5 linked regions of the Rattus norvegicus genome follow. The main gene of each other region encodes a partner of the protein of the gene in region 4 in a complex. Links are inferred from orthologs where the notes say so. Each region holds a gene or a part of one and is shown on either strand. Other genes may lie near its edges. The genes, in order: Dr1, Kat14, Mbip, Sgf29 and Yeats2.

Region 1 (6,645 bases), on a different chromosome or scaffold from region 4:
TGCATTACAATCCCTGCCCTAAAGTCTCCAGCAAGCATAAACGGTTATCTTGTAGGTGGGCTGCTCCACTGTCCTCTGTCAGCCTATCGGCAGAAAAGCATGGCTGAGAAAAGCACACTACTCCAAGAAGCAGCAGCCCTAGAAGCACCTGAATTAATCTGAGTAAGGAATCATCCTAACAAACACATTTTGGATTAAAAACAACACGCAAATTAGCAACCTCTAGTTTCTGTAGTTTCTTATTTGTGGGAGGTAGAATATGATTATCTTTCACTTAAAATGCAGCAGGACAACGCAGGTCAAAGTAGATTCCTGCCTCACCGGCTTGGCATGAAGACCCCTGGCAATCGTGTCGTCCATGGTACAGTACTCCCAGAAAACTAGGAAACACTTAAGAACTGAGAATCGTTTATTTCTATATTCTCACCACAGTGCTAAATACATCAGTAAGTGTGGAGTTGTAGGAGAAAAACAAAAGCCTCGGACTGTGGGTGTAGTAAACAGATAGAAAGCACTTGCCTAACATGTATAGGGCCCTGAAAAATAATAAACTAGGTGTGGTGGCATATACCTTTAATTCCAGCCCTCAGGGGCAGGGGCGGGGCAGGGCAGGGGCAGGGGCAGGGCAGATAGAGAAAGGCAGATCTCTGAGTTCCAGGACAGCCAGGGCTATACTATGAGACTCTCTTTCAAGCAAAAGAAACAAACACGAACCTTTTTTTCTTTAACTGGGCAGTGGTGGTGGCATGTCCCTTTAATCCCAGCACTTGGGAGACAGACAGGCTGGTCTCTGAGTTCAAGGCCATCCTGGTCTTGAGGAAATGGGAGTTCCAGGACAGCCAGGACTACACAGAGAAATCTTATCTCAAAAAAAATCAACCAAATCGGGTGGGGGGGAGAAAGACTCTCAAAACAAAACTTAAGGTGATTGATTACATAGTATGAAATGGCAGTGAAGCTACACTAAAGCAAAGGTATGGATAACTCCTATATACGTAATGGCAACATTACAGGAAGAGGGTACATTTGTGGATCCTAACACTGGTGGATTGCCGTCATCACACAAAGGAGAAGAGTCAGCCTTTCAGTGTAACTTTCTAAGTCATGCATTAAACTGGTTAGCATACTCCAAAGCTGAACTTTAGTACACGGCTTTCTTTTTTTTTTTTTTTTTTTTGGTTCTTTTTTTCGGAGCTGGGGACCGAACCCAGGGCCTTGCGCTTCCTAGGTAAGCGCTCTACCACTGAGCTAAATCCCCAGCCCCAGTACACGGCTTTCTACAGCTGCACTTCAATCATCATGTCGATCGGAACTCTAAATATACCCTAGAAAAGAATGAGCCTCCCACAAGACAGATTGTGTTATTAGATTTTTGGAACAATCACCACTTCTGTGGTACAAACAAGTGTTTAGGCAGGTCCTACAGAAATCTGCAGTTTCATTAAAAAGTTGATGCTTGACAAAAGGTGGTTCTTCCATTCCTTCACAAAAAGTCAAAGGAAATGTTAGCTACTTGTTAAATATCTTCTAAGAGACTTAAAAACTAAAAAAAAAACTAAAAAAAAAAAAAAAAAGACCAAAAAACCCCAAAACACTTGGTTTCCATTTTTCTTACCACTCAGCAAACCAAACAAGTAGGAAAAAAAAATACTAGTTTTAAGAATCAAGTATGTCAGCTGGAAAGATAGCTCTGCAGGACATTGCTTGCCCAGCACACACAAGGCCCCAAGTTCATTCAGCATGTACACACCAAAGAATCAAATAAGCAGCAGGAATGGTAGTTACATGTCCATGATCCCAGGACCAAGAGACTGCACGAAGAGGCTCTAAGTTTAAGGCCAGGCTAGGTAACAAGAGTGTGAACCTGTTAGCATCTTGCCTTTCCTAACCTAAAGTAAAAACATTGCTTTTTTCTTAGTTATCTGCTATGTGCTGAAATGGCAGAGTATATGTGCATGTGATATGATTATACACACACACACATCTATCAATCATCACGACTCTTACTACCTACTGGGATTGACCTCTGCCATGCTAAGTACTCAGCCTTGAGACCCCCCTCATCACAGCAAGGTGTGCTTTAAATCTACCATCAGCACAGGATAAAGGCTCAAAAATTAAACACGTGACCTTCTTGTCAATACTGACTGCAAAATGGTTATGTTCCATATGATCAGATATGTTCTCTATCAACAGGAAAGTAAAATTTTTAAATGTATAAAATGGCAACGAACTACCTGCCTAATATGATTAAATTTGTTCCTTTTAACCTTAAAAGTAATCAAGAAGTTGTCCTCATTTTCAATAGATTTATAATAGAAGTGATTTACCAAACTGAATGCAACTTTCTCATAAGAGTTCATGAAAAGCCACAGAAAGTATTTCCCAAAATTTGCCAAAAGCAACTTTCGTCTCCTTTCCCTGTAATCATCAAAACAAAATCCCAACTCCAAATCCTTTCCAGCGTAAGAAAGAAACTGTGGGAACCTTTAGAAGCGTTTTTCCATAAAAGCTTAAACGCATAGACACATCCAAATTGGAGCAGCAGGACAGAGGACAGGCTGGGCAGCTCAGCAACAGAATGCTGACTAGCATGTGTCAGGCCCTAGGTTCAAGCCCGAGTACTGTCGTCCCCGCCCTGCCCCAGCCACCCTTTACAAATAATTTTCAAAGAACAATCAATAGTTGGAGGAAGTCAAAAAGGAAAAAATGTGGCACTCGGTTACCTGGTGATAACTGTTCCACCACCTCAGCGTTTTGTAAAGCAAAAATTATACTTTTTGGAAAGAAATTAACTTTACAACAATGAACATACTCATGTTGATAACTTTTTTTTTTAAACTCGGACCTAGGGCCCTTGTGCATGCTAGGTAGATGATATACCACTGACCTCCGTTCACAGCCAAAGAACTTTTTCTACCCCTGTGTTCAAAATGAATCTTTTCCTCAGCACAGGTGGGGAAGAGATATACTCTCTGACTCGACTCGTGCTTGAAATTCTAAAATTTAACTTCCCAAGAGAGAACTTTGAGGTTCCTTTCTCAGTTGTTACTATCCAAGTTTAGCTGTAGGCAGTCAATTCTTGTTGCTTAAAGACCTGATCGGAAACTGTACTGGTTAAATGTTGTGGATGTTTGCTGACCCTAATGTTTGTACTTCTTACTTGCATTAGCTGGATGAAGAAAATGTCCGAAGAATGCTACATAGGTATTTTAAGGTAACTGCACTTACTAGTGAAGTGGAATGAAGGCTCCGTGACACTAGGAGTGACTCTATTAGCCTGGACCTTCATTTAAATTAAATCCCACACAAATTGCTTACCTTGGATGACATGCTCTGGTGAGATTGTCTTCTTTTCTGACTTGTTACAAATCTCGTTGGCTTCGGAAGATATAAGGTGAATGAATTCAGTGCAGCAGTTCACTACGAGCTCTCGGGCATCGTTGGCCACCCTGACATTAGGGAGAGTCTCTTTGATCATCTTATTTATAGCAGCTCTCGGGATAGTGAGATCATCGTCGTTGCCAGACGAGGAAGCCATCGTGCCTTCCTGTCTTTCAAGCCCTAACTTTTAAAGTCCTCCCTCTAGTCCACCACTCCACGAAGATTTCTCAACAGGCTGTCCCTGGAGAGAGATGTCGGGGTCCGGGAGGCTCAGAGTGCAGCAGAAACCAGGAAGGAGCGGGCTCGAGGGCAGGGAACACCCACTGTGTGAGAGATTTTAGTGCGGATATGAAGGAGAGGTCAGGGGGCTGAGGGCTCGCTCTGGGGACACCACTCCCAGGGCTCAAGAACCACCTTGCGTGTCGCCTCAAACGGACTGGCGCTGTCGCCTAACCGAACCTAAACGGCTCGGGGGCGCACGCAAGACCGAGGAGTACCCGCCCGGCCGCAGTACCGGGCGGACGCACCACAGCAGGGTCGGCTCTACAGAGCCGGAGCCCCCGCGGCCACCGCCACTAGCAGCGGTTGCAGCCGCCTCGGCCAAACCATCCTTCAGGCACCCGCGCCGCCGCCTCACAACATGTCTGCCGAAGCCGCAGCTGAACGCACGCTGGCTGCCTGGGAACCAAGTGGACAGGGCCGAAAACAGCGGGAGCCGCAGCGGCAGTCGCCGCGACCGAGCGTTTGGCCGAGAGCAGGCTGTGGGAGCAGAAGCGGCGCTAACGGTGGTCTTTCTACGGGCCGGGGAAGGAGGTTTGCCGCAAGCTGATCCCGACACGCTTTGCGCCACCGGAAGTCTCACTCCCGGGGTCCCACCCGCCCTCCTCGACGGATTTCCGAGTGCTCGCCCCGCCCTTCACCCCGCCCGGGCGGGCGGGAACCGCCGGTGCTGGCAGCCCGCAGCTTCCGCCCGTCGCTGCCCGCGCTCTGCGTCCCCGCGTTTCCTCAATCAGGCCCTAGGGGAGCTCGCCTGCTCTGTGGAGGGATGTGTGGGCCGAAGGGCCATCGGAGGGCCACGTGGCGGAGCAGCCCTGGTCTTTACCGAAGAACTTCCTTTTCCTACGTCCTTAGCTGTCGGAATTAGGGCACTGAGTGAGAGGAGCATATCCCGGCGTGTGGGGAAAAAGGCCTTTGTAACTGCTTAACAGCGTTCAGATCGGAACTCCCTGTGCTCATTTATGACAAAAAAAAAAAAAAAAAAAACAAACGAAGCTTTCAAATAAGTGGCTACCCTCCGTAGCACAAACGGCTAAATCAGAAATTAGTAGTCTGATCCAAAGCTGTGAGTTTGGCCTACCATGAGCTATGGCCCTCTGCACACTTGCTTTTGGAGAGAAGACCAAAAAAAAAAAAAAAAAAATTGGTTTATCTCAAGCGAGTCTGATACTTGCTTCTTTCCGGGTGATTATTAATAACTAGTGCCACATTCATCAGGGAAATTATATTATTAAAAAAAAAAAGCTCAGCCAGGAGATGGCTTTAATCCCAGCACTTTAGATGAGACGCTCAGGCAAGCAAGTCAAGTTCCAGGACAGCCAGGGCAACACTGAAGAAACCTGTCTCCAAACACAAACACAGGCAAAACCAAAAAACTTCACATACGGTCCCATTAATAAATAGTGGGACGTTGTAACTTTTGAAAGGGCTAAGGCACTTAAGCCAACGTGTACAGTTTAGTTTATCGTAATTTTTTGTAGACAGATTGGCAGCTGGGCTGTTGGCAATAATTTAAGATGTTTGGTTTCCAGGAGACTATCATTGTCCCCTCCTACCTGCCTCACTAGACATAGCTTCAGCACTGACCTAGAACACCAGCCTTTGAGTAATTTTTATCTTCAACATTTTCTTCAAGATGCTTCCTGGGAACCATACATTCTTCACTATCAGTGCTACTAAGTTTAATCTTTGATTATAAGGAGTAAATTTCTTCTTCGAAATAAGTAAATTTTGGTTGAGATGTGTTAAGACTTAGGTAAAATATTAAGGTCTAGATGTAAAGTTAAGGCCTAGGTGACTGTTACCTGGGTGGCTTGGCATTTTGTGCTGTTATTATATGGAAACTTTCACATATGAGAATCTTATCTACAGAGTGCTTGTGAGTACTCCTGAGACACTGTCTAAATTGTTTATATCTGCAACCCCGATCCTCGTTGTTGTATTTTATTTTTGTTTTTTGAATCAGGGTTTCTCTGTGTAGTCCTGGCTGTCCTGGAACTTACTCTGTAGACCAGGCTGGCCACAAACTCAGAGACCCGCCTGCCTCTGCCTCCCGAGTGCTGGGATTAAAGGCCTGGGTCACCACAGATGAGCTCAACTCCAGGTTTGAAATACAGTTATTTTTAAAAAGATTTATTTATATGAGTACACTGTAGCCATCTTAAGATACACCAGAAGAGTGTTCACTCTGCCGTTAAAGGCTAGGCTCACAACCAGAAATACAGTATTTTTAACTTTGAAAGTTCCTAAGACTTTAAGGATGGAAAAGAAGTATGAAGATATAAAGGGAATGTCAGTAAAGACTTTACACATTTAAAGGTCTATTGTAAATGAAGTCCCATGAGAAAACGGTACTGAGAAAGATCGCTGGAAAAAATCAAACCAGTAGGAGTGAGAAATGGTGGCGCACCACACGGCTGCAAGGCCAGCACTGGGGAGGGTAAGGAAAGAGGAGTGACAGCTCAAAGATGGACTCTGGACAACACAGTCCAGTCGAAAACTGTAAGGACATAAACAAAAGGGAAGAGGTGATATCACTTTGTCAAAGGGCCGTGAAGAAAGAATATATGCCAACAAAGAACTAAACAAGGAAGGAGGGGGAGAATCAGAATTAGATGCTCCATGGTATTTAAGTGTGGTGGATTCCAAGAGCAGTATGCGCTTCTGTACTTCCAAGAGCAGTGACGGGCTGTGGTGAACAAGAAGATCACCATCTGAAGGCCAGGCTGAGGCCGAGGAAGGGAGCTTTTCATCTGGTGGGGAAGACCAAAGAAGCAAATAGCAAAACAGCTTGGGAGAGGCCAGGGTGGGGGAAGAGTTGTAAAGGCCTGAAGATCAGCCTGAAGACACAGGATCGGTGGGAAAGCAACAGCAGGGCAGAGTGCATTGGAAACTGCAAGCAAAATAAGGTCTTGAGTAGAGGAAGCACCATGAGATTTTAAAAAAAAAATGGTGCAGATACATGCAGCCAAAACGCCCATGCAC
Region 2 (6,052 bases), on a different chromosome or scaffold from region 4:
CTCAGCTAAGGCAAGGCAGAAGTTCAAGTACTTATTTAGTACTTATTACGTCAAGCCACCATGTTTGGGGATGGCTTTCAATCCCATGTCAGATAATTTGTAGACCCATCAGTCCACAAAACAATTTCTCCCCCTTAAGAGTCTCATGTGAGCCCTGTAGAATCCCCTTACCTCTGCAACTTCTACTCTTCAAAACACCTTCCACCAAGCCTGGCCCGCCATCACTATTGCCCCACTCTTGTCCCACACCATCCAGTCTTCACATAGAGGCCACATACTTCTTTTAAAAGTAAACTGGGCATGGTGGCACACACCTTTAATCCTAGCACTTGGAAGGCAGAAACAGGCAAATCTCTGTAAGTTCAAGGCCAGCTTGGTCTACAATGTGAGATCTAGGCAAGTCAGGGCTACACAGTAAGACCCTATTTAAAAAGCAAACATCAACTCATGGCCCCTGGTTCACAATTCCTATATGGTTTCCCACTGTATGTACAGAATACATTTCAAAGTCCTCATCTGTGCCTTGCTGGGAACTTTCAGGACTTGACTCTGTTACACTCTGGTCTCATTTCCTAGGACCACACTGCTATGTCATCAAGATGTTCCCAGTCCTTCTCATGCCTCAGGGCCTGTGTCTGGCCTTCCATCCAGTTTTCTGCCTCCTGGCATTTCCTTGTCAGCACTTCTTGCAAGGTTACCTCTATCAGAGGATGGTTTTAATTCCCAGGAACACAGAAGTCCTTCCATCACACACACACACACACACCACACACACACACCGACACACACCATACACACACACAGACACACACACCACACACACACACACCATACACACAGACACAGACACAGACACACACACACACACACACCACACACACACACACACACACCACACACACACATACAGACACACACACACACCACACACACACACCGACACACACCATACACACACACAGACACACACACCACACACACAGACACAGACACACACACACACACACGTGTGTGTGTGTGCACACGTACAGACATCCTCAGCCGGTGGATCTTAGCTCAGTGAGTCAACCCCATCCCTCCCCTGTTTGAGAACGTCCACTGCAGAGGACAGAAACCTAGCATTGATTCACCATGACAGCCCAGTTAAAAGAGTGCCTGGCTCAAACTATTTAATTTACATTTACTAAATCGCCAAGTGGGGAAGAAAAAACAGCTTCAAAGTCAAGTAACGTGTGACAGCATTATATGTGCTTCTTTAGGTGTGCAAACCTGGTGAGACCACGGATACTAATGCGGGATGAGGAAAAGCCTATGAAGAAAAAGCTGGCTAAAGCTAACAGTGCAATGAGAACAGAGCAGGCTCTGCACCAAAGGGGCCAGAAAGGCCTCATTACACCCCTCTCAGGGGCTGCTCTGAGTAGGTGACTGTCTGCTGGACTCTTGAGACAGAGGAAAGGCACTACTAAGGTGACCTGAGCATTCCACATCCCAAGAAGAGTATTAGAGGTATAGAGAGTGGCACGGACGCCTGGGAGCATGGGTAGGGGTAGCTGCCTGAGCTGATCAGGAATAAGAAAATGGAAGTGACAGAGCAGGGCCTCTTTATAGAACACTGAGACACCATGGCTAGACCAGGCTTCTGCTCTCCCCTCGGAGAGACAGAGCAAGCTCCAGAAGCACACTCATAGCAGGATTCTGAGATTCCTGGGAAAGACATTTAACAGTTGTAGCTGGTACGTTATATGCTCTAAGGGGCAAGCGTGAAAGGGCAGACGGTAGGTTAGAAAGAGCTGGAAAGTCCTAAGAAAGAAGAAGTAAATTAATGCAGAGAGCAAAATAGCAACAGAGACTAAGAATGTCTTTGACAGTGGACTAATCAATAACCTTCTAAAGAGTTTAGAAGAGTCGTTCTAAGCTTGAGCATCTGCAATAAAACATTTCCAAACCAAAAGGCAGAGAAACAAAGACTAAGAATGAGTGGAACAGAACGTCCAAAAGTTGTGGGAAACTAGAAAAGAATGACAGGAATACCAGAAGGAATGGGGACAGAAAACACGTGAAGCAGTTACAACTCTAATTAGTGTCAGCACCAAACTGCAGATCGAGGAAGCTCACATAATACGACACAGCATACCAGACAGCTCTGTTGTGGAATGCCACTCTTCAGACATGCCATGGCCAGTGCCCTCTAGGGCCGTCAGCAGCTATGATTACCTGAGGTAACCTAAACAAGACTGAACTCACTCACTGTCCACACAGGGTGGGGAAGGGTTCACGAAGCCACACCCCTCCTCTAAGCTATAGACCGTAAATGGTTAGTTAACACAGGGTGCTCATGAGGTCACTCCTCTACCCAAGGTGTTTTAAAATTACTTATTGGCCAAGCCAATATATATAGTGGCACACACCCTTTAAAAAAAAAGATTTATTCATTTATTTTATGTCACAGTGCTCTATGTGCATGTACACCTGCATGCTTGACGAGGGCATCAGATCTCATTACAGATGGTTGGGAGCCACCATGTAGTTGCTGGGAATTGAACTCAGGCTCTCTGGAAGAGCAGCAGCCAGTGCTCTTAACCACTGAGTCATCCCCCCAGCCCTCTGTCCCAGATTTATAAACATTAATGAAGAGATTTCCCCTCCAGTGGTACAGCTGCCCACCAAGTGCCCATGCTCCTGTAAGTAACCCTTTTTGCATTCCTGCAAGAAACTGTGCTGCTTAGTGTTAACTGTCAACTAGCCTTAATCTGGAGCACCTGGGACACTGGCACCGCAGAATGCCTGCTGGGGTTATCCTACCGGATGGCGTGATCTAAGAGGGAAGACCTGTGCACTGTGGGTGGGGTCATTACCTAGCTAGGTGACAGAAAAGGACCTGAGCAGCATGAACTCACTGCTGATTGTTCCTGACAGAAGATTCCATCCGATTAGCTCCCTTCAACTCTCGATGCTCCAACTTCGTCTCTATGGTGGACTGTACATGGAACCATGAGTCAAGAGAAACCCTTTCTCCCTTAAGCCACTTTTGTCAGGGTGTTTTCTCACAGCAGTAGGTAAAGAAACTAAAACAGGGACCCTAGTTAAACTCGTGGACTTGAGTGGACCTGTGGTATACACACACACACACACACACACACACACACACACACACACACACACACACAAATAAATAATAAATAAATGTTAAAAGAGACCATGTTGGGGCTGGAGAGATGGCTCAGCAGTTAAGAGCACCGACTGCTCTTCCCGAGGTCCTGAGTTCAATTCCCAGCAACCACATGGTGGCTCACAACCATCTGTAATGGAATCTGATGCCCTCTTCTGGTGTGTCTGAAGACAGCTACAGTGTACTCATATAAATAAAATAAATAATTTTTTTTCTTTTCTTTTTTTTTTTTTCCGGAGCTGGGGACCGAACCCAGGGCCTTGCGCTTGCTAAGCAAGCGCTCTACCACTGAGCTAAATCCCCAACCCCAAAATAAATAATTCTAAAAAAGAGACCATGTTGTAAGGAACTGCTAAAGAAAGAAGTCCAGCAAGAAGAAATAAATAAAAATCGGAGTTCACTAACATTTACATAAACAACACAAGAGCAAAGAGAGCAAGGAAGGGCCATCAACAATACAACTCTAACAGTAGAGAAAAACACATCTTAGGTCAGAACCTAGAGGAGCAGTTGTGGTGATGGATACCTGAAGGCCAAGCCCAGCCCTCGCCCATTTTAGTGGAGGAACTCACTGGGGTGGGCACAGCCGCAGACATTCATTCACTCCCACAGCTGCTTCATCATAGGTGGGTCTCGGTTCAGCCCGGACTATGTGGTGTACAGAGCCCAGGGTACCTACTATCAGCACTTTTACACAGGAGGGAGGGATGCCATTCAAAACAGATTCCTAAGATAGAGGAAGCAGAAGAGGAAATGGAGACAGCTCCAGAAAGGGCCCACACACAAGCTCCAAGCACACCCAGAGGAAAAGGCCTGGTGCTTGGCATGTCACTGGCAATCAGATATGTGACAAAGATTCCCAAGAGAGTCTAGAGAGGACAAGAGGAAAGTGTCAAAGATTCTCATAAACCAATTTACAGAGAAACAAACAGGAAACACAAGATGTTCAACCTAATCAAAGAGACGTAAATGAGATAAGGTTACACTTCACAGCCATCTGATTGGTTAAGGCAGATGAGGGTCAAGTGTAGTAAAACTAGGTCACTGCTGCTGGTGGGGCAGCCTAGCAGTCCCCAGTGAAATTAATGTTGTCAGAGCACTGGTGGAACTCACCCTGTGAGTAATGCTGACTCCGTACTTCTTCATGAAGAGGCCTAAGGACATAGATGCTTACACACCCACAGCTCCTCTCAATAGGGTCTAGGCTACTACATGTCCTCAACAAATCTGTCAATCAAAACCATGAAACAGACCTCATATAGACACTCTCAAAGGAGACAGACAAGAAATGACTAGGCTAGTCCTTAAGTGCCAAGTGAGAAAGAAACCCACGTACATGAAGGGGCATTAAATGATGAACAATTTTGGAACAAGAGCACAGGAAGATTTTCTTGCTTTCTTTTCCCCGAATCACTCACAATAACAAATGTCACGGAAACGGCATCTACTGCCTGGTGCTGCCAGCCCCACTCCCTCCCCACACCACATCACCTGGTACCGGTCAAGGATCCTGAAGTCCTGGCAGGTGGTCCGGTATGTAGCTTGTCCAGCTGGAAGCCGGGAAGCTCCTCCATCTTTGGCTCCATAAATCCCATCCACTAACAGAAGTGCTGCGTTCACAACCTCGTCCAAGTCAAACAGTGGTAAGCCCCGATCCCTTTTTGCTTGCCGGACGATCAGCTTCCGTTTCAGCCTCCGGGCTTCTGGAGTCATGGCCACGGCACCAGGGCATGCCTCCAGCCTCTTGAGCAGCAGCTTCTCCTCATAGATGCTCACAGGCGTATACCTGGGCCCCTTGGGCTTCGTGTCCTTCTCCAGGGGTGGCTTCCTCTTTTCTCGAGCTCTAGTGTGCAAAGAAGTGTTTGAATCTGTGTCTTCGCTATCTCCATCCATCCTGTCTGGCTTCTCCTCCTCGCTGTCGACTTCCTGTTTTATCTGCTCTGCAGCTCTGACCTTCTTTCTGCTCCCCATCAGCCCAGAAGCTGACCCAGCTGGGGGTGGGATGTACTCCATCCCTGGGTCTATGACTCCATCTCCTTCCAGCTCATCATCATCTGCAAAGCAGAAAGTACTGTCAAGACACGGGAAAGAAGGAAGGCAGAGCACAACTCACACCCGAGTGGAAAACACGGCAAGGCTTACCATGAAATAGAGCTTGGGGTGGCATCACGTCTGGGATGAGGTCTGCTTCAGAGAGCAAGCTAGGCGTGGCAGAATGTGACGCTGGTGTCCCTGGGGCAGAGAAATCCAGAGAGGGAGAAGGAGAGGGGCTTGTGAGGGGGGTACGGTCCGAGGAGCTCAGGGATGAAAAGTCAATCACTTCTCCTTTCTCCAAAATCATATCCGGCCTCCGGCCTCGGCTTATGAACTTGACAGGGGTAGAAGAGGTGCTTCTGTCAAGGAGGCCGGCTGCTTCTTTCTGTGCTCTTCTGATGTCTTTAGCTTCCTGTGTTCGAGACCGCTTCTCTTTCAATTCCATGGCTGATTCCACAGGATTCCGGCTTGCTCGTTTTCTGAGTCCTTCAACGGTAATGATGGGATCCAGTGTTGGTTTTGAAGCTGCCAGGAAAGAATAAATATCTAATTTCTATGTTAACTGTTCCTTTCAAAAATACACTTTATTTTTATGCATATGTATGTGTTTCTGGGCATTTAAAATACAGGTGAGAGAAGGCACCTGAAGTGGAAACTTAAGGGTTCTTTGGAAAGTCAGTTGGCTGTTTTGCTGAGGCAAACAGGTGAGGAACATTTAGCTGAAGTGGACACAGGTGAAAGGCTAAGGCAGGTTCGTGAAGGAATGAGCTGCTGAGCTGCTGACCTATGAACTGAACAGCCGATTTCCAGACAACACAGACAGGAGTCGCTCCGAAGAACCTTTCTTTC
Region 3 (6,591 bases), on a different chromosome or scaffold from region 4:
CTTGTCCTGATGAGAGAAAAGCTCTAACTCACATCAATTACACTTGCAGAGATGTTCAACAACAGCAGCAAGGCTATAATACTGTTCGTTTCTCAAGCTGAAATATTAAAAGTGTAACAATACCATGATAAATAATTCAATATTGACTTCCAATAAAGGATAAATTATTTCAAATTATTAAGATGAAATAGTGACTGGCTACTCACTAAGATGAAACATTAATGTCACAGAAATTACTTTCTTTTTAAAAACTACGCTGAAACTGTTTAATTGCAATAGACACTCCAGGATGTGTCATGCTGGGATAATGCCACTTCTTGAACCACTGAAAGCACTCCATGAGCCTCCCAACTCACCCAAGGCATGGAATCATTATCATAGCATGACTCACACCTGCCGCGTCTTATTGCTTAATTATAACCCACCATAGATGAACTGTATTGAATTTTCAGCAAAGCCCAGAATTGAATAGAATTGCATTTATTCACTCTCAAACCCACATCGGTCTGTTGGGCTATATTCTCATAACTATCCCAATCACTAGTGAAATTAACAGACCTAGACTCAATATGGATTTCTGCAACCTTTTACTAATAACAGTTATTGTTAACAGAATGTTGAGGTAGAACTGAAAAATACTCCAGCTAATTAAACTACAGTTAATTTCTATTTTGAATATCCAGTAAACATTCTAATATGAAATTTACCTGTAAATACAAAACGTGTTGTTCAAGTGCAGTAAGGAGCAGTGCAGGCTGGGATGTTGAGAGGCTCTGGAGCCTGTTCCAATCGATTGTAATTTTCACCACATCATCTCTGAGGTTAAGCTTCAAAGAGGCAAAGTAGCAACATCACAAAAATTACACGATTAAGCTATATATCTGGGATTATCACAAAAATAAGATTTCTATAGAGTAATGCATGCCTATTTTGCTCAAGTTACTAAGTTTCAATGACATAATAAAATGCTTTCTGTAGTTGCTATTTTAAAAAGCTAAAAGGCACAGCTTTGAAAATAAAAAAGATAAAAACATGTCTTATTATTTTAATTTGGTTTCTACGTCTGTATAATAGGGCCATCTTTGAGAAGCCATAGCCTCTTTTGATACTTTGATATCTTAAATACCTTTGGAAGGTATCCAAAAATAGGTCTGCCCTAATCAGAATCCTAGGCATTCAACAGACGGAGATCAACTACTGCCTTCCAGAAAGTATTCTCTTTGTTACGTATCACACAAACACATGCCTAAAATAAGTCATTACCCTGATGTCTTCTCAATCACTCTTATTGTTTTCAAATTTAACCAATTAAAAATTTAAAACTAAAGATTATTCACACATAGGGATAGATGACAGTAATTACAAATAAAAATCTAATTATCAGTTATGAAATTATTGAGGTTAAAAAAACAAGTACTTTCCCACAGCAGTGTTAACAAAGCCAAAAGTGGATGCCCAATGTTTCCTAAGGATTTTCTAGAAAGATATATCTCATACCATGAAAATTTCTCATCAACTAGTGATTTATTAGGGCAAATGTATATCTAGAAAACTACCAAGAACTGAATATAAAATTAATATCAAAATCTGTCAAATTTTAGAGGGAGAAGCTTCCACCTGTAATAATTTGACTGAATATGAGGGAATCTCTATAAACTTTTCTGGACACAATCCAAGTGGAAGCAAGTTAATTATACTTATTTTGTAAGAATAATTTATTAAAATTTAGTCATATTTTCCACAAAGTAAAGATGTTTCATGAGCTCAAATATAATTTAATGAGCTGTAAGAATAAAAAACCAAGACATGAATCGCTGTCCATGGAACCAAAGAGATCTCAGGTTCCTCTGTTAAGCACTCTACTGTATAAGTAATGGATAGAGACCTACTGCCTGAGACCAGAGGCATCTGAGTCTACATTTGGCAAACATAAAGAAATACAAAATTTTACACAGGCTATACTGACAAAGACAAACTTATACTAAATTAAGATTTGACAGTAAGGTTAATTAATAAGATAACTGAATTTATTATTGTGTATAAAGGTACTCCATCAGCATGCATTTACAGTCAGGGGATCTATAGTTGACCAAGGCAAATTTATGTTTGGGGAATAAACAGGCAAGTCTTAAAGCAAAGCAAAGTATCACCTTCTCTAGAGAAAATAATTATAGGAAAGAAATCTTAATATTTAGATCATATTTTCATGTCAATTTGGAAGGATTATAGAAGCTTTCAAAGGCAACTCAAGATACTTGGTCTTTTATGGAAACCAAACAATAATGTAACAAATTAACTTAAAAATGACCCCCAAATATATCCAAAACATTCAGCAAATTCCCTAGTAACATGTGGAGTCTATGAATTTTTACCCCATAACTCTTGGGACAGTAACTAGGAATTCAAGATTTTCTATTAATATACTATTAACAATGTCTATTCAATTATGTATGTTCAGTAGAAACACATTACTTTAAACTAACAGAAAATCTTTAGCTTTGTAATTTGGGCCAATGAGAGAGAAGAAAAAGGTTAGTATTAGTATATTTTGCATTTGGAGAAAAAATACTTTTTAACAATTCAGTTTTACATTTTAGATCAAAAAGAGCTAGTAATTCAATACTTAAGATAAACTTAGGCATAATACAATTTATATCTTAAAAATCCTTTTAATTTGTTGCAAAAGACACATTCCACAGGGGCAACTTTTTAAGCATAGATGGCTTTCATCATTAATCATGCATCTAAAAATACATGCTATTACTAAAATAAATAATAAATCATATTTGACACATGTATAAAGGTCTCTTTACTGTTAAAAAACATTTTCTCTAAACATTTTTGGCAGGTGGTGTAAGTTAAGTTTAATCATTTTTCCATTTGAACCTTTGAAATAAATTTATATAATTTTGAAAAATTTGGTATGCAAAATTTAGATATTCAAATAATTTATCAATGTAAATTATTTTGCAACTTCTAAGCATAATATTCAAGAATATTTTTCTCATCTTTACATTAGTATATGAATGAACAAGTTCCAAATCCATGCCAAAAAGTTCTCTAACTTTTAAACTATTTAAAGATCTGTTATGTTACTACTGAAATATTATTAATAAGGAAAGACTGTAATTAATTTTTTCATAATTGCTTATTAAGCAGAGTTTAAATTTTTTAACTTTTAAAAGTCCAGTAATAATTGCCTTATAACACCAAACAGAATGTACAACTCAAGTACTCAGCCAGTCAAAATAAACTTACTAAGATTTTCAAAAATAATTCTCACAAATCAGGTAAATGCCCTATTCTCACTGCCCTTGACATATATGTGTGCTGTGTCCATTTCATGCACTATACCAGCCCCCAGACAAACCAGGAAACATGTTTGACGCAAAACTTCTAAAAGCAAGCAAACGTACTTTTGTTCCTTATTTAAAAATTGCCTCATTTACACTATGAATGACTATCTAGTAAAGTGCAACCTAGTTTTTAAAATTCAGTTTCACTGTGACATTTCTGTAAAGAGCAATTAGCTAAGTTACACAACAGCAGTAATGTAGTTAGAAGTGGCCGCACATAACTCATCCAGCTATTCACAGTAAAATTTAGGCATACTACAAATGAAATTGTGGAAATCCTTATACATCTCTCCCCGTAAAAAGAGTAAGAGATGCAATAAATGGTGGGAGAAAAAATAAAAAAAAAAATAAAACCCAGTCAGTCACCCCGAATGAGTGGAGATGGCGCTAGAAAAAGTTTCAGGCCATATTAACCAGTGAATTTCTCTAAATACACTGGAGGCGAAAGGAAGCGTCAGGAGCCTCCTTAACCTTCATCTTTTGGGTATCAATTTTCTGCAAGCGTTCGGCGCCACGACCCCGCTTTTCTCTAGACCTTGGTACTCACGCTCGGTCAGCTAGTGTGCCGCTGGCATCTCAGGGTCCCAGGCATCTGGGTCCGGGCTCCTCCGGGTCTCGGCAGCCCGGCCTTGGCACACCAGCGGCACACACCGTGCCAGGGGGCTCCGCGCCCCCTCCTCAGAGAGAACTAAGGGGATAGGACAGGGTGCTCCCCACCCTACCCCATCCCACCCCACCCCACCCCACCTCCGCCGCACCTCCACTTACCTGTCCTGTCAGGGTGTGCAAGGAGCGAAAGACTTCGCAGAGGACCTCGCGGGTGAGGAGGGGGCTGGAGCTTCGCTCTAGGTTCTTCTCGCAGCTGCTCGAGGAACTATGCTCCGCAGTAGCAGCCATGACACCTTCACAGCAGCCCCCAACCACTGCGAAGAGTGCTCACCCCGACCCCTCCCTCGCGGATTTCGTCTCACCGAGATGACGTAAAACTACAGCGTCTCATTTAGACCCGAGGGTAGGCCCCACCCTCTGTGTGTGACAGACGTGCACAAAGACCAGTCAAGAGCAAGGATATCCGCGCTCGGAGGGAATGAGTGAGTGCTGTTGAGAGCTAAGCAGGACCTACTATCTGGTGGTGTTTTCAGTAGACGGCTTTGCCTTAGAAACTCACTTAGCTCTTAGATGCTCCCCGTGAATGCTGGCAGAGCCTTACTGTTAAGTGTTAGAATTTGGGTCCCACTATTAAAATTTAAACTGCTAACATGGCAGGGTGGAGTTGTCTTGGAAAAAAAATGCGGGTCAGTGTGGAGCAGTGCTCACAATTTTCTAATTACTGAAAACTATACCCAGGATGATCGTAACTGGACAGAACATTTTCATCTCTACAAGATTGTTGTTACGAAGAATTAAAAAAAACAAAAACAAACAAACAAACAAACAAAAAAACCACGAAAGGGCTACATTATGCCTCTTTTCCCTACCATAGAACGACATTGATAACTACATCTGCAAAACAGAGTTATGTCAAAGTTCTGACATGCAACAGTTTCTCGGTGAAATAACTGGAAATTGGTGCCTAAAATTGTTTATAAAAATATAAACCAACTTATTCCATGTAACCACACTCACGTTAAGATATAAACTGGATCAACACTCATCGGATATTATTAGATAGCTTTATTTTACTGAAAAGTTATAATTTTATAATGAAGAGGTCTCTTAAAATTTTAAAACAAGTTTAAGAGGTAAAGGACGAAACTTAAAACGAAAATTAAAACTTGCCTGGTGGCAGTGGCTCAGGCCTTCAGTACCAAAGCACTAGGGAGGCAGAGGCAGGTAAATCCCTGAATTTGAAGCCAGCCTGGTCTACAAAGTGAGTTCCAAGACAGCAAGGGTTACACAGAGAAACCCAGTCTCAAAAAACAAGCAAACAAGCAAACAAACAAACAAAAGATTTAGAACTCTTCTTCGTGATAGTTAACGCATTTAGCCTACTGGAAGTAGAAGTATGAAGTTACTGGGTATTCTATGTAGTTTGAGAGCAGACTGAACGAAGGAAGAAATAAGGAATTAAGTAACACTGGGATAAGGACAGTAAAAATGAAAGAACTCCTTTTACCTGTCTAAGGAGCCTCATATTCACTTATAGCCAGAGACTTCTGGTATTATCGGGCTTAACAGGATCTTGAGAAAGCTTGTCTGTTTCCTTGTTAGCAGTAAAATGTAAACTTAGGCTTGGCAATACAATCTTCACCAGATTAAACCTCAAATCAAGCACCCACTCATTCAAGTCACTCATATCTGTAATAGAAATTCACAATTCATTTCAATGTTAGCACGCTTTGTCTCTGATTCTCTTGTTAATGGGTGACAATTGTAATGTGGAACCTAAGAGTCCTTGTTCTGTACCAAGTACTGAAAATCAGATGTTTTTACTCAATAAAGGACTTTTACCACACATTCAAGAATGATTACGGTGTTTCTCGTCCTTTCCTTTGTCAGGACTGATTTTGAAATCTAAGCATTTCATTTCACAATTTTTATTTTTGGGGTGTGTGTGTGTGTGTGTGTGTGTGTGTGTGTGTGTGTGTGTGCGCGCGTGCGCGAGCATGCATGTTTGCTTCTTCTCATGCATGGTTGCCCAAAGAAGCCAGAGGGGGCATGGGATGTGAGCTGCCCAGCGTTGGTGCCTGAAGTCAAACTCTGGCCCTCTTCAAGAACAAACAGTTGCATTCTTAACCACTGAGTTTTTTCTCCAGCTGCAAATTCCAAATCTTACTTGATATCTTGTTGTTGTCCTATTGTCTTTGTTTTTCGAGACAGGGTTTCTGTATCTAGCCGAGATTCTCCTGGAACTCCTGGAGCCACACTGACCTCAAACTCAGAGATCCACCTATCTCTGCCCCCCAAGTGCTGGGATCTAAGGCGTGTGCCACCATAGCCAGCTGCTTACTTGATTTCTTGAACCCCTAATATAAGAATAACTGGTCATTTGATTTATCTCTCAACGGCCTAATAATTCTCTTATTCCAAGTTCAGACCCACTCTTATATTTTATAATTGCTTACTTAAATAATGTTTAGAATACGCACTGCGTGTTCTGTCTAATGGCATCTTCTAATCCTTTCTGATGCCCAGTGACATTTTTCTTATTTTCTTCTCTTATAATAAAACTGTCTATTTTAAGTAGAAAGCTTTCTAGGACGAAAAGATGTGAATTCTCGTGGGCTCATTGGAG
Region 4 (6,052 bases):
GGGATGCCTGATTTGAGTATACCACTCCCTAACAGGCTCTGTGTTTGAGCAGGTGGTCCTTAGCTAGAGCTTTGTGCATGATTCTGGATGCTTTAGGAGGTGGGGCCTTGCTAAAGAAAGAGGGCTGGTAAGGTATAGACCTTATGGGTTCTGGCCTGAGCTCTGCTTCCTGAATACAATGTAACCATCAGTCTCATGTTCCTGCTGCCATGCCTTCCCTTCCACGCTAGAAAACCCTCTCAAAGCATGAAGCCAAAATAAATCCTTCTTCCCATTAAGTTACTTCTTTTGGGCATTCCAATACAGTAAGGAGTAAACAACACAGGGAAACTCCAGGGCTGTTCCAAGTACAGAGGGAAGGGAGGAACCAGGAGCCTAGAGAGACTAGCCCAGCTCAGTGTGGCCAGGTCACAGGGACTCATTCCCTGTAAGACTGAAGCCGTCCCCACTCCTGTGTGGTCCGGTGGCCTGGCTTCCAGAAGCCAATTTACAGGGGCTCCAGGCTGGCAGTAGACAGTAGACAGCGTACAGCTTCTCCAGAAGTTTCTTTATCTCAGATCTTGTGAATTCTTATGGAAAAGGCTCCAAAGTTGATCAGCAGGAACAACTTCACTGTGGGTCACTGTTATTCTGTTTCCACAAACCCTTGGCAAAGCTTGTGGGTGCTGGCACTCCAGAAAGCAAAGAATGATAGTCAGGAGGCCAAAGAACATCAGGAGGCTGATGTTGCTGTGGGACTGTTTGGAGAACATAGTTTTATGTCATAAGTCCAAAGCTGCAGTCTACATGACATCAAAACAAACAACAAAACCCATCAAGAATCCAGCCCAATCCTTCAGGAAAAAACAAAAGGGTACTTAAAACTAGAAGTTATGTGAAATGGGATATTCAAAACAGCCACAAAGCATTTCCCCACAAGACATTTGGTGATTACACAAAGGAAAACAGAAACCTGGGAGATCCCACATCAAGCAATGAGACAATAGTATCTTGGGCCTTCTAATAGAAAGTTGTTACTGTGTTACACACACCCGAAGCAGAAGCTCAAACCTGATTCTAGAAGTCAGGAAGCACTAAGTACACCCATAGGAGGGACTACCACAGAATAACTAGCCTATAACCTGCAAAAGGTCAAGTGACAAAGGAATAAGAGACTGAAAACTGTTCCAGATCAAAGAAGACTCGAAACAAGACACTGAGCGATGGAGATCTGCACTAGGACAGGACCTGTCTCATAGTGAAACTTGAGTAAGTTTTCTGGGTCACAGTTTCATATCTGAACTGATGTCCTAATTTTGAGATGATTACAGTTTTAGGATCATGTTCCAATATATATGATATATAATAAATTTTAAAAATGTATCTGATATATAAGAAACAGTATGTTACTGATTACCTAACACCAAGTGGCATGGGTTTGTCTGACCTACCTGGCAAGTACCCTGAATGGTTGGACCTGGTAGCCTCATCTCTTTGGCTTGCTTTTTCTCTTCCAGCTGCTAGGTTGGGAAGGTCTGGTTGGATGTTTATAGGGTGACTATATTATTTAAGAGTCTAAAAACCTGAATTCGGAAAAATATTTCAATGTAGGCCCATGTGTACCTAACTGCCTAAGTGCTGAATGCTAGGTAAGTCATGCCAGACATTCCATACCAAACTCCAGTCTGAGTCTTCACTCTGCTCAGTCAGGGAAGGAAGGGGCGGCTTGCTTTTTACTCTCAAATGAAGACCTGGGGGTGTACTCAATAGTACAGAGCTTGCTTAGTATGCATAAGGTGCTGGGTCCTCTCCCTAGCACTACAAAAGGAAACACACACACACACACACACACACACACACACACACACACACACGCACAAAAACAAAACAAAACAAAAAACAAACAAACAGAAAAAAAAAGCAACCCACATGCAGCACTCTGCCTTATGCAAGCTCCACTAGCCCAGGCAAGTGCTCTTCTGCAGGAGTAGAACCCATCCATCTTCTGTTCTGTGCCCCAACCACGTCAGACCACTCCAACCAAACTAGAAACTCTGACATCCAGATCTTCCTGTCTGCAAACTAGCTCCCTAATGAACCTCAAAAACTGCTGCTCTTGGGCTAGCCTTTGCTCCCTACCTTTCTACCATGTCATCACCTTGGAATTGGTCTCTAACTGGCCTTGAATCCTGCCCCAACCCTTTTTATTGCAGCTTTAGGCTTTATTGGTTCCCAGAGGCCTCTAAAGTGAGGCTTGTGGTACATCAGGCTCTTGTGAACTACCCTTCTTCCTAAGCCACGTAGGGCATCCTTATGGCCCTCAAAATGCAGGAATCACTAAAAACATCAGGCTAACACTTATTAGGAAGGCTTAAAATTAATTTTCTGGCTACAACCTGCTCTAAAAAATAGAAAGCCTGGGGGTTGGAGATTTAGCTCAGTGGTAGAGCGCTTGCCTAGAAAGCCCTGGGTTCGGTCCCCAGCTCCAAAAAAAAAAAAAAAGAAAGCCTGGCAGTGGTGGTGCAGGCCTTTAATCCAGCCTGGTCTACAGAGTGATTCCAGGATTGCCAGGTTTACACAGAGAAACCCTGTCTTAAAAAAAAAAAAAAAAAAAAAAAAAAAGGTAAAGAGAATTGGCTACATATAATGCCACATTAACTGTAACTTGTCAGAATTCTGTGAGATGTGTTCATTTAAAATAAGTGTGCAGTAGAGAGGCCCTATTCAGCACCTGGCAGAGTTCTGTGGACTTTCTACCTTAGAAGCCAGGCTTCCAAGTTGTATGGGTTTTGACAGATTTTATAATTCCTTGACAGTAAATTGGGACAACACTATAAACTACAAAAAGGAGTGCTTTGAGGATCAAGTGACATAAATAAATATATGAAGTATTTAGACCAGGCATGGTGGTGCATATCTTCAATCCCAGTACTAGGGAGGCAAAAGGAGGCTAATCTCTGTAAGTTGGAGGCCAGCCTGATCTACATGGTTAGTTCCAGGCCAAGGCTACATGGTATGACTCAGTATAAAAAAATAAAATAAACTGAAGTATTTGGAATGGTACCGGAGCACAGCAGTGTCACCTAGTGGTCCTTGTTTCCATTACAGGCTGCAATAGTCTGTACCTCATAGGAGGGGAGGGCCGGAACAGTTTGTAGAATCTGGCATTCTCGCCATAATCCCACTGTATGTTCACAGTCTGATAGAGTTGTTAACCAGTTTGTAATGACAAGGCAACAGAGATTCAACTGACTGACTGTCAGGTCACATGACTAGGAAGTTGTGGGGACAGGACAAGCTTTACTGCCATCTATAAAACAATAAGCTAAAGGGGAAGGCTGGGTAATGAAACAAGAGCTTGGGAAGGTTCAAGCAATGGAAAAGGCTGAGTGGGACCCTCTTCACAGACAGAAGGTAAGTTGAGGCCATGGTCCCCGAGCATATGTGGCCCAGCCCGGGCAACAGGGACGGAGAGAGCAGCACCCCGTGAGTGACACTTACTTGCACTCCGCCTCCGCATCGGCCTTGGCGGTTGTGTAGAGCCCTCGGAGCTTTGTCCGGTAATAAGGAGAAACTGTAAAACAAGGACAAGGAGCATGAACAAGAGGAGGTGGCAGTATGTGCCTTGATTCCAGGACACCAGGGTCAGCTTGAAGAGGCCAGGGCCTGGATTCCAGGCATCTGGAAGTTTAAACACGCTTCCAGGTTAGTAAGATGGCTTAGTATGGACAGAACTTGCCTCACTTGCAAGTACCAGGAACCAGCTCTATAGCTCAAGTAAAAAAAAAAAGTCAGGCATGCCAGATGCATTTGTTATTAAAATCACAGTAGATATCTATAACTTTAAAAGTTGAAGGCCAGTCTGGCATACAATAAGATCTAGGACAGCCAGGGCTACATAGTGTACTGTGTCTACAAACAAACAAATAACGAAAAAAGGTGAATGGTGTCTGAGGAACAAACACAAGGTTGGCCTTTGCACATATACCCATATGCATACATATGCGTATATACAACCACCCCAACATACATCTAAAAGGGGCTTCCTGTTCGACATGATCACATTTCCATATGGTAAACACACCATCATCATTCTTGAAAAGCGCGTTCTAACCTGTTACCTGTCCATACATGTCATGGACATGTCATGACAGTTACTGAGAAGAAGTATGCATTGTCCAAAGCTAATTTAACTTAGAGAGCAGCAGGCTCAGGGCGATGGCCTGTCTTGGGGCATATGCACAGGCCATAGAGGAGCTCTGCTGTAAGGTAAGTTCTCTGCCATACAAGACTGCCTTTCTAGTCCTGAGCTGAGGGACTCTAGGTCCTTTGGTGCAGAGCAGTCTGTCATCAGTCCCTGTCATTTCAGGTCATTCAGCCAAAGGAATAATGACCCTAAAGAACAACTTTGGAATATGCAATACAGCAAAAACTGCTTTTGAGACACAGTAAGTTCCTGTTCCTAGTTGCAGCTCCTTCCCACCTCCTTTCTCTCCTGCCCTGAATTACTTACTCTTGTTCTCTGTCTGCATTCGCTCGTGGGTTTTCTGAATGTTCACCAAGTTGTGCTCACTTCTCGATCGCTCTTCCTGTAAGGAGGAGGTCAAGAGGCCATGAGGTAGACCTTTTACACTAACAAAAGCCCCCTGTTTACATTAAGGTTCCCTCTGGGTTACACTGTCCTGAGGGATCTGTCCCTATCTCCACAGTCCTATATGCAAGAGTCCTACCTCCCTAAGCATCCTCCACACCCCTGCTATCCTCGTATCCCATCCCATGCTCCCAAGGCTCTGGCAATATCTTTTTACTTCTCTAGTTTTGTCCTTTCTAGAATTGCCACACAGTTAGAATGAAGTATATGTAACCTACTGTGATCTTTCACTTAGTAAAAAAGTGCCAGTATTTCATCACTCTTATTTTTCAGGGTACACTTACTACAAAGGGTATTATCTGAAAAGGACTTTCTGGGACTTGCTCCCTATTGGCTCATTAGACCATGTGATCCAGCAGAACAACCAGTGTGTAAGGTATGATACATGCCTTTCAGTCTAGCACCTGGGAGGGAGAAGCAGATAGGTCTACAAATTCTAGGCCAGCCTGGTCTACATAGCAAGTTCCAGGCTAGCCAGGCCTACATAGAGAGACACTGTCTCAAAACAAAGCGCGCTTGTGCGCATGTGCATACACACACACACACACACACACACACACACACACACACACACATATTTCAATGAGCAAATGCTTGGCAAATCCTTGGTAATAATGAAGAAAACAGAGCAGTGACATGCCCAACATGTCACAGTATGCTACAGGCACAAACATACACCACTCTTTATTTGTGAATGAAAAAAAGCTATTTTAAAATATAGGAAATGGAGAGATGGCTTAACAGTTAAGTGCACTGGCTGCCATTTCAGAGGACAAAGGTTCTGGATCTGATTATCTCTTCTGTCCGCTGGAGGCACCAGGTATGCACACAGAGAACATGTAGGCACTCACCCATAATCATAAAATAAAAATAAGTCTGAAAAAAAAAAAAAGATTAGTGCACTAAGCAGATCCAATTCCCTGGTAGTCACGCAGGACAAATTACAGGTGCACGTGATTATCCATTTACTACTGGAATGCGGCACTGTACATTTTTGGGTATGAAGCACACCAAGCCCATTGGTATACATGCACAACATGAGTAGCAGAGTAAACAGAACAGAAAAAGGCTTTGCGAAGAAGAAACAGAAGATGGCCTATGCATTGTGAAACAAGACATGCTGTAGCCAGTCTTTTGCTACTTTGTGGGTCCTTTTTTCACTCTTTCTCCACCCCTTTTCTTCCACCCTTTCAACCCTCTAACACTAGGTAGGAGAAAAAAAAGATAGAGGGGAGAGGAAAGAGATCACTGAATAAAGTCAGGAGTCAAAAGGGAGCAATGTTATCATTAACACTAGCTTCTGCTGATTAGGGGTTGTTGAGTTCCTTAAGGCAAGTTAGATCTTCAAAGTCGGGATATCTTATTGTTTCTTCTCTGTGTTCCACTGCTTAAGGGAGGCAAACTGCCCTGCCTCTTGGGGCT
Region 5 (6,052 bases), on a different chromosome or scaffold from region 4:
ACCCAGGTCCTCTGGAAGAGCAACTTGTACTCTTAACCACTGGGCTATTCCTCCAGCAGATTTTCCTTTTGTAAAGAAAGAGCTGGGCATGGTGGCACATGCCTTTGATCCCAGCACTTGAGTTCTGAGGACTTCCTAATCTACAAAGAGTGTTTCCAGGACTGTCTCAAAAAAAACACCACCACTACCAACAACAAATTAGTGGGTCTAGGGATGTAACAGTTGATAGAGTACTTCTCTGGCCTGTACCAAGCCTTGGGTTCAGGCTCCAGTACCAAATATTCCAGGTATGAGGCACAGGCCTGCAATCCCAGCTTAAGAGGTAAGAGAAAGAATGCTGACCAAACACAAGTAAATCTAAATTCTCAGAGTCCTGATTATGAGGTGTCAAAGTATGCGTTAATTTGCCTTCCTGTTTTATTTTTTCATCAAAAGACAAGTGAATTTGTAATGAAAAATAACAATTTGTTTTTATAAAAATGAAATCAAACATTGATGTCTAAATGTATGGAAAGCAACTTGGAAGTTCCCTTTTATAACTGAAGCTGTGGCTATGCCATCACTGGTCTAACTTGACTATGACTCTATAGATAAATAAAACACCAAATAAACCAGGCACAGTGTAGCTTCAATTTAGGCACTCACACTATCATAGCTGGGCGCAGTGATTCCAGCCCTCGGGAAGCAGAGGTAGGGCGATCACTACAGTTCCAGACCAGCCTGGTCCACATAATCAGTGCCTGGCTGGCCAGGGCCTCATAGCAAAACCATGTCAAGAAAAGAATTGTGTATTTTGGATTTTGTATGACAAATTACAGGAGTCACTACTTAGACATTCAGCCATAATCATCTGACTCTAATCCTTAAGGTTCTTTCCCAACTTCACGAATGACGTCCAAGAGCTATGCTGCACTCTAGAGTGCTTTGCTCTAAAGTAAGAATGCCACCAAAGTGTGCACACACACGCGCGCGCGCACACACACACACACACACACACACACACCAAGAGATACCTCAAGTTATAGGCTAGTCTGGTAAGCCCCAGACTGAGACCCTATCTCAAAGAACCAAAGGCCCTTTTCTCTGCTGTAAAAATCAAAGTACTTCTGTCCCGCCCACATGTAATAAACAGCAGGTCTGTTCCCCCTGGAGCCTGTACCCTTCCCGTGTTCCGGCTCAGTCTCTGCTCCCCGATGCTTGAGAGCCTTTCCTCCACATCCACGTTGCTGTTATTGTCTTTGTCAGATAGGAAGTCATTGTGCTGAGATAAAGAGTCACTTTCAGAGTGATTGGCAGATGGTGTTTCTGATCTCTGATTAGTAGGAGACGATGACCTAGAAGGTGATTCCAAAAATTTCTTGATAGCAGGGTGGTTAAAAGCCATGGGATCAAATGTCTTTAATCCCTAGAAAAAGGAAAGAAGCAAACTTAATTAAACCAACAAACACTGATAAAAACCTAACTCCTGAAAACTTCTACTTACGTTAAGATCATGTTAACAACCTTTCAAATCTCTCTCCATATCCTGATGGAGAGACGGCTCAGCTAGTAAAGGCTAGGCTCAAACCAAAAATAAATGAAAGAAAAAGGAAAGAACAAAATCTCTCTGTACCCATAAATTCTTATACTTAGCCTGTGTCAACAAAACAGAAACTAGAGTGACAAGTAATTGTGCAAAAGTTCTAACACTCAAAGTCAAAAATGAGCCAGGCACAGTAGGGGCACACACACATGAATCCATCACTCAGGAAACTGAGGAAACTGAGGCAGGAGAATCTGAAGTTCTGGACCACCCTGGACTACATTCAAAAAGTAAAATAAGGCTTTCTGTAGTACCACACAAATGCAGCTTGGGAGCATGCCGGTAATCCTGGCATCCAGAAGGTAGAGGCAAGAAGGCCAGGAGCCCAGGGTAAGTCCACCACACCCAGCAAGATTTGATGTTAAAAGGACATAGAACAGGCACTGTGGCTCACGCACACCTACAATCCCAAGGTCTTTGGAATCTAAGTAAGTAAATTCATCTTCAGTCCCAGGTCAGCCTGGAATATATAGCCTCAAAACAAACAATGAAAGTACACAGTATAAAAAAATGAAACCCACACTGGAGTTAAAAAACAACAAAAGTAGAAGCTTTAAAATCAGCAACGAAGAACATTCCTTCAGGCTAGCTCAGGGGCCTAAGTTCAGTTGTTCAGTTGGGTGCTCTAGCATTCATGTCATGTGCTCACAACTTCAACTCTAGCTCCAAGGGAATGAATCAGGACACCTCTGGCCGCCACTGGTACCTGCTCTCATGTGGACACACCCAGATACAAACACACGATTTAAAAAATAAAACAACAAACACACACGAACAAAACAAAAACAAACAAAAAACCACCAGTATCACTGGCTGGGCACGGCGCTACTGTACGGAATCTCAGTACTTGGGAGGCAGAGGCAGGAGGATTGCAGCTGCTAGATTTCATCCCAACTCAGACTCGTGCACACATGACAACACACACACACACACACACACACACACACACACACACACACACACACACACACACAGGGCGGGGAGGGAGAGAGTGAGAGAGAGAGAGAGAGAGAGAGAGAGAGGGAGGGAGGGAGGGAGGGAGGGGGAGGGGAGGGAGTTACACAGCTATTAATCAAAACAAAAGCTGTGGTGTGGGTGAAGAGACTAATGTTTTAAAATAAGATAAAGAGCTGATTAATTCGGTAGCAGTGCTTCTCAGTACTGTGTGTTCTCTAAACTAAAATAAGTACATGGCTTTATAACACAAAGCCTGGCCAAAGATTTCTTGAATTTTTTTTAATCTTTTTTTTTTGGTTCTTTTTTTTCCGGAGCTGGGGACCGAACCCAGGGCCTTGCGCTTCCTAGGTTGAGCTAAATCCCCAGTCCCTTTTTTTAATCTTTAAGGGTTTATTTTATCTGTCTGAGTGGTTTGTGTGCATGCACACATGTGCAACATGTGGATACCTGACAGCTGCAGGAGACAGAGGAGGGTGCTAGATCCCCGGAACGTAAAGTTACTGAGAGTTGCAAGCCACCATGTGGACACTGGGAACTGAACCCAACTAACGCCAACTACTGAGCCATCTCCAGCCCTTGGTAGGTCTTCATCAGAACACCAGGGGCTGAAACTGGTGCATTTCTAGACAACCAGACGGCCCAGATCCCAGTGGTAAATCAGCAAACCACTAACCAGTTTTTCAAGGTCAGCATCTGCTTACCGCCTCCTTTATCTCACGCAAATGCAGCTCATGATGTGCACTGTGCTGAACCAATACTGAGCTATTCAATCAGTGATGCCAGAACTGTGGAAAACACAGCTTCCACAATTCACGTCCAGCCAGAATATTCAGAACTTGCCTAAGGGCTGTCATCGTTACGGAATTGTACATTATATGCCTATTACATGTGCAAGCCGGGGGTTGATTACAGGCACGAGCACACAGAGAACAGGAGGGGGAAACTGGGGTCTTTGTAGACGCAATCGATTTAAAACAAAGTCCTACTGCAAGACGGAGGGCAACCCTCACCCAGGACTAATTCCTTAAGGGAACCTTAGATGCAGAGAAACCCTGGAAGGACACCCACAGGATAGTGCTTTATCTGGTTTTCTGTTTGTTTTATCTTACTGATCATTTGCTTGATTTTATAGTCTCTGATTTTGTGTTTTTACAGGTACTGTGCCTGTGTGTCCTCCACTGGCACTCTGGGGTTAATACACGGCTGCCAGGAGAAAGAGAAAATGGAGTAAAAAAGTTTTATAGTGAGCGCCGAAATGTTATGATGTCTAAGACCTTAATTTAAATGCTTTAGAGGAAATAAAACAATAGAATTTTAAAGTGATGAATCTACATGGTATGTAAACATGTTTGTCTTTCTCTTATACTGAAAACTATCATTAAGAAGTAGCCTTTGAAAGAGCAAGGCACGCTGGGTAAGGCAAAGCAAAAGAGGAAGACCCAGGAGGAGTTGCAGTGAGGTTTCCCTGCCAGTATTATACTAGCAATTAGTACTGAAAGGATAGGACCATGTTAAACAAATTGCCTGGTGATCTATGTTCCTCAGAAAGGTGCTCGGGCTTATTAAATGCTAAAGGCCAATATCAGAAAGGTCTCAATGGTAGGGAATCCACACGGTCCTGATTACCCCCAAGACAAGGAAAATGGTGGCTGAGAATAGCCTGGACCATGAGGAACGCTTACCTCAGAAACCTTCAGGAGACCAGCCGATGCATAATAGTTTGCTACAATGCAGGCTCGGAGCTTATCCATCATCCTTCTGGCTTCAATCAGCCGCTAAAAACAAGTGAGAGTTTAAATGTTGTTTAAATCGGCAAATAACGACTTAAAATCCACAGAACAAACACAAACAACAAAAGCAAAAACTCAGCTTCTTGAATTGCTTCAATAAATAAAAACTCCTCATCTAATTAAACTGGCAGAGATTCAGGCTGGAGATGTACTTCATGTATATAAGCAAAGTCCTGGAGTTTATACTTCTACCCCAGAGCAGACTGGGGACGGGGACAGTGTGTGTGCTTCCCTGATCAGTAAAGTCTTAAAAATCCCAAATACCCCAGGTCTAGTGGCATAAGCCTTTGACCCCAGCACTTGGAGAGGCAGAGGCAGGTGGATCTCTGAAGTTTGAGACCAACTATGTCTACAGACTGAGTTCCAGGACTCACACAACAGCCAAGAGAGAAAACTTGTCTCAAAAGAACAAAAGCAGGGGCTGGAGAGATGGCCACTCTTCCAGGGTCCCGATTTCAATTCCTAGTAATCACATGGTGGCTCACAACCATCTATAAAGTGATCTGGTGACCTCTTCTGGCCTACATACAGACAGAAGGACATGATACATAATAAACAAATCCTTAAAAAAAAACCTACAAATAAAACGAAGAAACAAAAAAAAAGTAAGTGTGAGCATATTTATTAGTTAAGAAATAACTGTAATATACTGAGAACGATACCAAAAAGGATTACCTTCGGAGATGGAAGCTCAAGTAGGACTTTTTATCTTTTCTCCAACTTTTACTTATTCTGGGTATTTGAGACAAAGACTCATGTGTCCCAGGCTGGCTTCAAATACAATTAGTGAGGATGACCTTAAATGTCTGGTTCTCCTGTCCCTACCTCCAAGTACTGAGATTACAGCTGTGTACCCATCCCTCAGCAGGATAGTTTTTTTGTTTTTGTTTTGAGACAGAGTCTCATTCTGTAGCCTCACCTGCCTGAAATTCATTATAAAGACCACGATGTCTTAGAACTCATAGAGGTCCACCTGGAATGCCGAGATTAAAGATGTGTGCCACCATGCCCAACATTGGAAAATTTTGTTTCTGTTTTTTTCCTTTCTTTCATTTTTGGCCAGAGGAGGAGATGGGGTTGCTCACTGGGTCCAAGCATTCTCTCACTCAGATATACCTTTACCCTGAGTCAGATCTTAAGGTTTTGTTTCTGTTTTGGGTTTTTTTTTTTTTTTTGGAAATTTTTTAAAAATAAATCTCATCAAATAATATACTTTCCCCTCCACAAACTTAGTGTTTTCAATTTATCGTTACTATACCTGGTCAATGACATCAATCTCATGTTCCTTATTCTTCATTTCAAGGGCAAACTGCTCCTTAATAATCGTCTCAATTTTCTGCACAGCTGCATCTCGAGCTATAGAAAGAACACAAAACATATCAAATTAATCAGTGCCTAGTGATTTAAATCAGCAGCCAAAGAAACCACTGCCTCCCCCCACAAAACCAGAAACTGCTTTGGGTTCATGACACAATAGCCTAAACAAGTACACAGAAATATAAAACTATATAATCTATCCTTAAATGGCTCAGAAAGAAAAATGTTTTTCATCTGCATGAAACTGTCAGATGGGGAAGAAAAAAGGAGGTTAATAAGAAAATATCGTGTGATAGATAGACAGGTTATAAATATAGCTAATAAAAATATCTTTTGTTGTTCGTGTGTGCGCGCGTGTGTGCGTGCATGTGTGCATATGTGTGTGTGTGTGTTTGTGCACATGAAT

What was found.
Region 1: Sgf29 (region 4) and Dr1 share a complex: the UniProt entries of both Homo sapiens proteins name them as parts of the ADA2A-containing complex. The link is inferred for Rattus norvegicus from reciprocal best matches to the Homo sapiens genes SGF29 and DR1.
Region 2: Sgf29 (region 4) and Kat14 share a complex: the UniProt entries of both Homo sapiens proteins name them as parts of the ADA2A-containing complex. The link is inferred for Rattus norvegicus from reciprocal best matches to the Homo sapiens genes SGF29 and KAT14.
Region 3: Sgf29 (region 4) and Mbip share a complex: the UniProt entries of both Homo sapiens proteins name them as parts of the ADA2A-containing complex. The link is inferred for Rattus norvegicus from reciprocal best matches to the Homo sapiens genes SGF29 and MBIP.
Region 5: Sgf29 (region 4) and Yeats2 share a complex: the UniProt entries of both Homo sapiens proteins name them as parts of the ADA2A-containing complex. The link is inferred for Rattus norvegicus from reciprocal best matches to the Homo sapiens genes SGF29 and YEATS2.

The regions. Positions count from the first base shown.
Region 1 is NC_086032.1:1,610,395-1,617,039, forward strand, and holds the start of Dr1 (protein Dr1), read right to left. Parts: upstream 4,163-6,645; 5' UTR 3,542-4,162; coding exon 3,322-3,541; intron 1-3,321. UniProt on the Homo sapiens protein: The association of the DR1/DRAP1 heterodimer with TBP results in a functional repression of both activated and basal transcription of class II genes.
Region 2 is NC_086021.1:152,220,980-152,227,031, reverse strand, and holds part of Kat14 (cysteine-rich protein 2-binding protein), read right to left. Parts: intron 5,729-6,052; coding exon 5,312-5,728; intron 5,224-5,311; coding exon 4,661-5,223; intron 1-4,660. UniProt on the Homo sapiens protein: Component of the ATAC complex, a complex with histone acetyltransferase activity on histones H3 and H4. May function as a scaffold for the ATAC complex to promote ATAC complex stability. Has also weak histone acetyltransferase activity toward histone H4.
Region 3 is NC_086024.1:79,556,139-79,562,729, forward strand, and holds the start of Mbip (MAP3K12-binding inhibitory protein 1), read right to left. Parts: upstream 4,337-6,591; 5' UTR 4,254-4,336; coding exon 4,125-4,253; intron 828-4,124; coding exon 708-827; intron 1-707. UniProt on the Homo sapiens protein: Inhibits the MAP3K12 activity to induce the activation of the JNK/SAPK pathway. Component of the ATAC complex, a complex with histone acetyltransferase activity on histones H3 and H4.
Region 4 is NC_086019.1:190,692,169-190,698,220, reverse strand, and holds part of Sgf29 (SAGA-associated factor 29), read right to left. Parts: intron 4,569-6,052; coding exon 4,493-4,568; intron 3,554-4,492; coding exon 3,481-3,553; intron 738-3,480; coding exon of another isoform or gene 713-737; exon of another isoform or gene 1-712. UniProt on the Homo sapiens protein: Chromatin reader component of some histone acetyltransferase (HAT) SAGA-type complexes like the TFTC-HAT, ATAC or STAGA complexes.
Region 5 is NC_086029.1:94,314,072-94,320,123, forward strand, and holds part of Yeats2 (YEATS domain-containing protein 2), read right to left. Parts: intron 5,686-6,052; coding exon 5,588-5,685; intron 4,315-5,587; coding exon 4,222-4,314; intron 1,406-4,221; coding exon 1,160-1,405; intron 1-1,159. UniProt on the Homo sapiens protein: Chromatin reader component of the ATAC complex, a complex with histone acetyltransferase activity on histones H3 and H4. YEATS2 specifically recognizes and binds histone H3 crotonylated at 'Lys-27' (H3K27cr).